2 linked regions of the Cricetulus griseus genome follow. The protein of the gene in region 2 binds, or shares a complex with, the protein of the main gene of each other region. Links are inferred from orthologs where the notes say so. Each region holds a gene or a part of one and is shown on either strand. Other genes may lie near its edges.

Region 1 (3,984 bases), on a different chromosome or scaffold from region 2:
GCTGGGGAAGCCAGTCTGCACCAACACCAAGGGCTGCAACGGTGACAAGGGATGACTTGATGGGAACCAGGGATATTTTCTCCCTGGGGCGGGGGGGGGGGGTAAGAGTCAACTTGGCTCTCTAATGCTTTGTCTATTTCTGACCCACGTGACTGGCAGTCCGACTAAGCTTTCTCAGCAAACTCAGAGTGGGGACAAGTTTGCAGTCACACCACCCCTCTCCAACCCATCCGCCACCCCCAAGTCGCTCCCAGGGAGAAATCACACCAGCAGAGGCAGGAGGTTCATACCTGTCCTGTGGCCCAACAGAGATTAAAGATGCACCTACAGGAAGCTCTTAGCTGCAGTCTGGGGCTTCCCCTAATTACCTATAGGTTAGGGACAGAAAGAGAAAGAAAACAGGACCCAGGTCCGTGGGTTCTGTTAAAAGCCACTCTGCTGTCTAATTGTAAGTGATGGTCCAGAAAGCCAGGCCTGCGAGAGTCAGGAGGGTCCCACAAAAGCCCGAAGCCAGCCCCACTGACTAAGAGGCTCAGACAAGTCAGTCTTTGTCCTTTCAACATGAAAGAATGGACTGGAAGGTGTGTGTGCAGCCGGAGGAAGCTACCCAGCTGTGGCCTCCCCAGCAAGCCTCAGCTTGTATCCAAGGCCAGGGGGGGAGAGACCGCCCCCGCCAAGTTCCCAGCAGGGCCCAGGGAGCCGCCCTGGGAGCCACCTGGCCTTCTGGGATGCACGAGGCCAGCTGGGGCCACACTGATTGACCTGAAGCAGACATTGCCACCAGAGTCAGGGATTATATATCGCTGCTTGATGAGCCCAGCAAGGCTCTGAATCACCAGTTAGGACCTTTCCTGGACATCACAGGAGGAGAGAACAGAGGCTGCCCCCACCCTCACGCCTGCGAAAGGACCCTATTAACCCTGGCTTTGGGATGGCTTCACACATCCGAGCTTACCACATAATGCTAAGCATGCTGTTTGGAGTCTTCTTTAGTGTTTGGTAATAAATCTACATGCTTAAAAAAAAAAAAAAACTGACACAGTGAAACACAGCCTAGCACCCTAAGCCCTGACCCCAGAAAAATCTCTGCAGTTCTTGGGTCACGGGCTTTTTCCTACCTTCATATCTTGGAGACAGTTCCAAAGCAGGGCCTCTTCTTAGCAAGTGTCTAAGGGGGAATTTAAACTTGTTTAATATTGTTTTGGCATCTCTATCACCCACCATGACCCCTGTTTAATTGTTTGATTTTTTTTTTTTTTGACCAATAATAGAGGCAGTCAATGGCCTCCCAGGGATTCCAGGGCCTTTATCTGGAGCTGGAAGGATTAACGTGAGACCCCTTCCGCGCCCCAGGTGCCCAGCGGGGGAGGGGTGGCCTTCAAGCTTCATTATTTCCAAGTTGACACAGCGGCCGTGGTGTTTGGTGTCTTCGGGTTTTCTAAGCAACTTCCACAAGCAGAATAAAAGCGGTTCAGGAAGCAGCACTATCAGGGTGAGTTATCACCCAAACCAAATATTTGATGATCAGCCCCACAGCGCACCGCCGGGGGTTAGTTTGAGCAAGTTAGACTCATGTGAGCGCACAGATGCAGGGGGAGCTGTCCCGGACCAGCCGCAACCCAGCCTCGCAGCACTTGGTTGGCTGGGACTCCTGTAGGGAAGAGGGCTCCCTAGCCACTCGGTGGCGGCCTCTGCTCCGAGGTCCCCAGCTACCCAATCGCCAAACCCCGTGGTTTGCGCGCCACACGTGATAAACGCTGAAAATGGATTCTGCCCGCCCGGGACCTATCATTAAATATTTAAAATAGAAAGCTCGCAATGGCAACGTTCTTTCCTCGGCCCCAGACAAGAGCCCAAAGGTAGGGGCCCGGCGACTGAGAGAGGAGCCCCAAGGCACTCCGGGCGCGCGCCGAGACAGGCGCACCGCAAGGGGACAGGTAGGGCTGGCTAAAGCGGGGAAGGGGAAGGGATGCTCGCGATGCCAGAGCCAGACTGGCCACAGAGGAGCGAAAGAAGGGCGGGAAGGCAGCTTGGCCGACAAGGGCCCTTTAAATCCAGGTAGCGCGGGCCGCTGTGGCCGGTTCAGCTCACATGACCCAGCGGGGCGCTTTGAACTGAGCCGCGGCCGGGCCCGCACCGCCCTCCCCAACCAGCGGCGGAGCCGGCAAAGAGACTCAGAACCGATCCTTCCCTCCGGGTAGCTCCCACGAACCGGCTGAGCCGGCAAGTCCCACCGGGGACGCACAGACCCCGGTCCGGGAGTCTCTGGCGGGCACTGATACTTTGCAAATGGGAAGGTGGACCCGCTGGCTGGAAGCAGAGACCCTCTCTCTCCCTGTCCCAAATTGCTCCCTTCTGAGGCATACCCCTCCCACCGCCACTCACCGAGGTTGACGAAGCTCATGACCATGTCGGCGTCGGTGAGGAAGTGGCTGTCCTGCAGGCTGGCTAAAGGGGGACCCTGGGTACTGAAGACGGCCTTGTAGGGGTAGGAGAAGCCCTGGCCGTCGGGCCCACTCTCCTCCACCGCCATGGCGTTGTACAGGTCCAACATGAACATGGGCGCCGAGTTATGCTTCCCCTGGAGGTGCGGGCGCGGGCGATGGGGCAAGCCCAAGATGGACAGGATCTCCCGCTGCATTTCCCGCCGCTCCTGGCTGCGGAGGCGCCGGTGGATGAAGCTCGAGTGCACCTCGTTGTCCAGGCTGAAGTCGGCTAGGGCGGAGCGCAGTAAGAACAGAGGCGCCCAGAGAGCCACGAAGCTGTGTGGCGCCGCAGCGCGCAGCGAGCGCACGTGCATCGCGCCGGCTCTACGCGCGATCCGGGGCACCGGTGCCCGCGCTGCCCCAGGTGGCAGCAGAGGGGGCAGGGCAGCGGTCCACGACGCGAGGTCACTTGCTGCAGACGAGCTTCGCCGAGGCCTTGCCACACATGGCCACTCCCCGGCCGGCTGCGCTCTGCCCGGGATCCCCCTGTCCTCCGCTCAGCCCTGGCGCGGGGCCCCTCGGCCCGCACTCGCCGGGACGCACCGCAGTGTTAGCACAGCAGCTCGGGAGAGCTAGCGAAAGAGCGAGGAGGCGGGCCGGGGTGGGAGGAGCAGCAGCCTGCAGACCTTCGAGTCCGGGGAGCTTGTGCCGGGGAGGCGGCTGGGAGCCGGGCGAGCCCTCGCTCCCTCCTCTCGCTCGGGTAGCGCCCAGGCCTGCGGGCACCGGCGACAGACCCTCTCCCGACTTCCCGCGCCCAGAATAGGGGTCCCGGATCGCTACTCCAGCCCTGCGCGCCACGGATCGCCCTCCAGCCGCCTCGGGAGCCCCGGAGTGGTGCGCGTTGGGGCCCGGGAGGAGGGGGAGGAGGAGCGGGAGGACCGACCTCCCCGCCCCTCCCGCTCCCGCGGCCTCCCACCTGCGCCCGGCCCCGCCCTCCCCACGCCTGGCCCAATGGCTTCATTCATTCCTCCCTGGGCGCTCTACAAATATTTACCGAGTGCCCACCATGTGTCCTGTACCTGGACGGACGCCGCAGGGGTGCAGAGAGAGGAATCCGAGGCGGCCCTGCCCTCTCGGGACTCGCACTTGGAAGTGGCCAAAGTGAGACTTGGGAACCTTTGGGCTGTGGCGGAAAGTACCAGGGAGGGAGCGCGGGAATCCGAGAAGGCTCCTCGGAGGTGGTCACCCTTGGACCTGGCTCTTCTCTCGTCCTTCTGGAATACTTCATTTGCTCCAGTCATGCAGAGCCCCCTCTTCACACCCACTCGGCTGCCAGCTCTGCTGCCCTGGCCATTCCTCCTCAGGGGACGTTCTTTCCCTGCCCCTCCCCCCTCAGGTGCCACTTCCTCTGTGAACCTTCCAGGACGACGGGCAGAGATAATGTAGAGATAAGGTTATTTCCCTACTACGGACATTAATTTTATTTTCTACACGTCACTCCCCGAAACACATACACAAACACTCACATACACACACACAGAGTCTATGGTCTTACACA
Region 2 (4,359 bases):
TTTGCCCGGCTTGGAGTCTTAAGGTAGCCGACATTAGGAATATTTTAAAAGCCATCATCCATCGAGCATGTCTCCCAGGCGCCAGAAAGATTAAATGAAAGAATCATAAGATGGAGGTCTTTAACTTTTAATCCTTTTACAATGAAGCCTCAGATAGTCGCGGGGGCAGGGTGCCCTCTCTGGGGGGAATAATGCCGTTATTCCTCGGCTCCCAGTTAATGAATACCCTAACGTCTGTCCCACGACTGACGGAGGCAGCGCCGGGGAGGGGGCTCCGGCTCCCGAGCCAGGCTATTGAAATGAGGAGCCACCGAGGCTGCGTCGGGAGGGAAGAAAGCGCCGGGCTGGAGGGACTGGGAGGGCGGGGCCCCGGGCTTTGAGACTGAGCTGGGGACCCAGGCGCAGGTTTGAAATAATTAGCATAGATTCGCTGCTACTCTGGGCTGGGGGGCGGGGGGGGGCGGAGGATCCGAGCCCGGAGGGAGGCGCGACGAGGTGGCAAGGGGGTGGGGAAGGGAGCAAAGGAGAGCGACTGTGGAGTCCAAGATAAATAAAAAGGAGCGGGGAGCGGTGTCAGGAAGCCGGCCCACGTGGAGCTGTGTGGATGGGCGCCACTGGGGATTGAGGCGGAGGGATGCACGCGAGAGTCTAGAGTCAGTCCCAAGAAGCTGGAATTTTAAGGGGTGGGGTGCAGTGATATTTGCCCGAATCTCAAAGGGGTAACTTTGTCTCTAATCCTAAAGCGTAAAGATCCCATTCTGATTTCTCCTTTCTTCTCAACCCCCAAAGTGGAGTTAAGTGCCTAGGGAGGGGTCGTGTTCCCCTCCCCGACTGCAGGTCCCAGAGATAGTGATTTGTACCCAAATTCACACCCCTCTGAAATTCAGGACCTCAGTCTTCCTTAGGTCCTGGAAAAGGCCCAGGTGAGTGTCAAATATCCAAATTATCTCTCCCACGTCAGCTGTGGGCCTGGGTTGTAGGGGCTCCAGACCTGCAGGATCCCTGAGGTTGTATGTAGCTGAATTCAAGGGTCGCTTTAGCACTAACCACCGCAGTTTCCGGGCATGCAAAGGGTTAACAGGGGCTGGATATTGTGGTGGGGGTGCAAGGAGGGAGGGGTGGCGGGATCTGGGTGGGCGCGCTCTGATCCCCCCCATTCCTCGGGGGTCAAGTTTCAGCCGCACTCCGCCCCCAGGGAAGGTGTGAAAGACACGTGTCCCCATTGTGAAGGGCCTGTCAGCCTGGACAAAGCAGCCGCCCCCCTCCCTCCCTCCCTCATCGGCCCAGCCCGGGGTCAGCTCCAGGGGGCCGGCTGGGTGTCGAGGTCACGACAGGCCTGAGCTTTGGTGTCACGGGGGAGGGTACCCAGGGAGACTCCGTGGAGGCCACAGGATACTTAAAAGATGGAGTTTGAGAATAACACCCCCCCCCCTGAAAATTTTACAGTCACCTTCATCACCCCACAGGAGGGGAGTCCGGAACGATGAGCTTGTCTCCCAATAGGAATAGTAAGCGCGGCGGCATCCCCCCCCGCCCCCCATCAATCACCAACACAGTGAATCACAGTGTCGAGCCCAGTCGGTTTTAGTGGTTTTCTTTAATCCTGTTCTGCACTTCTTTCTTATTTACTACACGGGATATTATAAAGAATAAATAGCAGATACTCTTAATTTACAATGATTAGTCATTCCATTTGTTCTCTATATTTACAATAACTGTAAAATAACATTGAACTCTATAGCTTCTTCGAGGTTTAAGTAAAATCAAAACACTTTCCGAAGAATGGAAAATAGCTTTTTAAAAAGTCCTTCTACAAAAGTTCCCCCTCTCTTTGTACTTTTAAGAAAAAATAACTCCCCCCTCCCCTGCTTCGCCATGCGAAGGGCACTGGGATATAAATAGCAGGTTAACATTATTACCAACAACCAGAATAAGTCTCTCTTTTCACTGTTCTTTTTTTTTTCTTTTGCTTGCTTTTTTTAAATACAGTAGAAGCCGGTAACTTTTGACGTATAATACTGACCTTTTAATAAGTAAATTAAAACTGGGACCGTATATACACACACACATATACATTCCTACACAGTTAAACAGTGCATTACATGAACCAGAAAGCCGGGTCTCTGTAGCCAAGAAGAAAAAAAGTTCATTGAAAACCCTCGCTAGAGGGTGGTGGAACTGGTTGGAGGCGGTGTGGGGGCGTTGATGGGGATCCATCAAGTGTCTGGGCGCGGGCAGGGGGCCCCCGAGTTCTAGCAGGAACACTTACACTCGGAAATGATGGGGTACTGGATGGGAATCCAGCCGCAGCGCTGACCCCCGCGCCGCTGACAGCGCCACCGCAGCACAGTGAGGTGCACAGACTTGGACGGCTTACACACCATGCCCTCAGGCACAGAGCACGAGCGCTTGCTGAAGCAACTGCCCACCTTCACGTAGCGCGGCCAAAAGCGGCTGCCCAGGTCATTCCACGCGTACAGCACCGGGCAGAAGGTCTGTGACCACAGCCACATCTGTAACTTCCTCCTCAGCTTCTTGCTCAGGCGCTGCTTCTTGCCTTGGGCCAAGCCCTCAGAGAACTCCAGCCCTTTGATCTCGCTCGGCATGGCCCCCGACGGCCTCTGCCGCAGCAGCTGGTCCAGCTCCGCCAGGTCCTCGGCACCCCCAGCCGGTCCCCCGCCCCCTCCGGGTCGGTCCTCGGGGGGCGAAGTGGCCATGAAGCCCGGGTCGTAGTGGCCCCCGAGCAGCGAGCGCAGCAGCGTCTCGTTCAGATCCTTCTCCTTAGGGTCAAAGATAGGGTCCGGGTGTTCGATGAGGTCCACCAGGGGCAGGTTGTCGCTGGGCGCCGGGCGGATGTGCAGATAGTGCTGGCCGCCGGCTGGTGCTGCCCGCAGTCCCAGGACCACCACCAGGGCGTAGAGGGTGACCCCCAGGCTGGGGCAGCGCTCCATGCCTCCCGCGCGCGCCCCGGGGCTGCCTCTTCGTCCCGCGTCCCCGGAGGAGAGCACGCCGAGCCCGCGGCGCTGCGGCGCTCCCGGGTCCCTCCGGAGGCGGCTCACCCGAGGCTGGGCAGGCGCAGGGCGGGCAGCATGAGCTGCGAGGAGAGCGGATCGCGCAGCGCCGGCTCCCGCCGCGGCGCAGAAGACGCGCACGAGTTGGTCGCAACTCCCCCCCGCCGCTCTACTTGGGAAGGCGGCGGCGGCGGCCGGGCATCCGAGATTACTCCAGCGCGACCGTGGGGCGCTGGGGGCGCCGGCTCCTCGCTGCTCTCTCGGGCGGCCGGCGGCGCAGGGCGCGTGGACGAGCCTCTTTCCTCCTCCTCCTCCTCCTTCTCCTCCGGCCGCTCGGCGTCCTGCCTCTCTTTGCGGCGCCTCGGGTCGAGCGGGTCCTGGGCCACTTCCCTCCGCCTGCTCCGGGCTGCGCAGCCGGCTCTGCCCGGCGGACTCCAGCGGCGGCGGCGGCGGCGGCGCGGCGGCGTCCGCGCACGTTGGCACCGGTTTGTCTGTCTCGCAGGGTCCAAGCCTTTAAATTTCCTGCACTTTCAGCTCCATCACCATGGAAACCACTGACTCTCTCCGCGTTGCCCCCTCCCCCTTCTTCCCCCCAAACAACAACCCCACCCCCCACTCCTCCACCCGCGAGGAGCCGGAGCCGCACGGGCTCGAGGGGAAAGCGACTGCACTGGCCGCGAAGGCGGTGGCGGCTCCGGCAGCGCCCAGGGCTGTGCCCCGCCGGACCCAGATGCCCCGGGAAGCCGACAGTCGGGCTGCCCGCCGGAGCTCACAGGCGGCGGCGGCGGCGGCGCGGCAGCGGCGGTGGCGGCGGCGGCGGTGGCGCTTGGCAGGTCTCCGCACAATTCCACCCCCCCACCCCGGTTCTCCTCCTCCTGCAAAATGCACCGCCCCCCTCCTTTCTCCTGGAGCAATGCAATGGGGCTCTAGGCGCCCCGCCAGGGCCAGTCCCGGGGAAAGCTCTCGGCGGCGCTGGAGCCAGGCTGGAGGGTGCAGGGCTGGAGTTGAGGGGTGTGGGGTTGTCGAGGTGGGACTGGAGGACTCTCACTGAGTGCTTTGCATCGGGAGTGAAGCAGCAGGGAGATGTGTGTGTGTATGTAGGGGGGTTCGTTTCTCAGTGCAATTCCCAGCAAAAGAAATTTCTCCATGTGCATGGAACGTTTTCCCTAGTGTGTCTCTGTTTTTCCTCTCTCTTGGGCTTATTTTAAGTCCCCTTCCCCCACACACACACACACACACACACACACACACACACACACACACACACACACACACACACAGACACACACACACACACACACACACACACACACACACACACACACACACACACACACACACACACACA

Evidence for each region. The genes of interacting proteins can lie anywhere in the genome.
Region 1: the proteins of Nog (region 2) and Bmp7 are in contact, whole or in part, in a crystal structure (PDB 1M4U), measured with the Homo sapiens proteins. The link is inferred for Cricetulus griseus from reciprocal best matches to the Homo sapiens genes NOG and BMP7. Residues at the interface, in NP_005441.1 of Homo sapiens: His29, Tyr30, Leu31, His32, Ile33, Arg34, Pro35, Ala36; in NP_001710.1 of Homo sapiens: Phe365, Pro366, Leu367, Asn368, Ser369, Asn375, Ile378, Val379.

The regions. Positions count from the first base shown.
Region 1 is NC_048599.1:6,375,454-6,379,437, reverse strand, and holds the start of Bmp7 (bone morphogenetic protein 7), read right to left. Parts: upstream 2,801-3,984; coding exon 2,386-2,800; intron 1-2,385. UniProt on the Homo sapiens protein: Growth factor of the TGF-beta superfamily that plays important role in various biological processes, including embryogenesis, hematopoiesis, neurogenesis and skeletal morphogenesis.
Region 2 is NC_048600.1:102,462,500-102,466,858, forward strand, and holds Nog (noggin), read right to left. Parts: upstream 2,952-4,359; coding exon 2,253-2,951; downstream 1-2,252. UniProt on the Homo sapiens protein: Inhibitor of bone morphogenetic proteins (BMP) signaling which is required for growth and patterning of the neural tube and somite. Essential for cartilage morphogenesis and joint formation.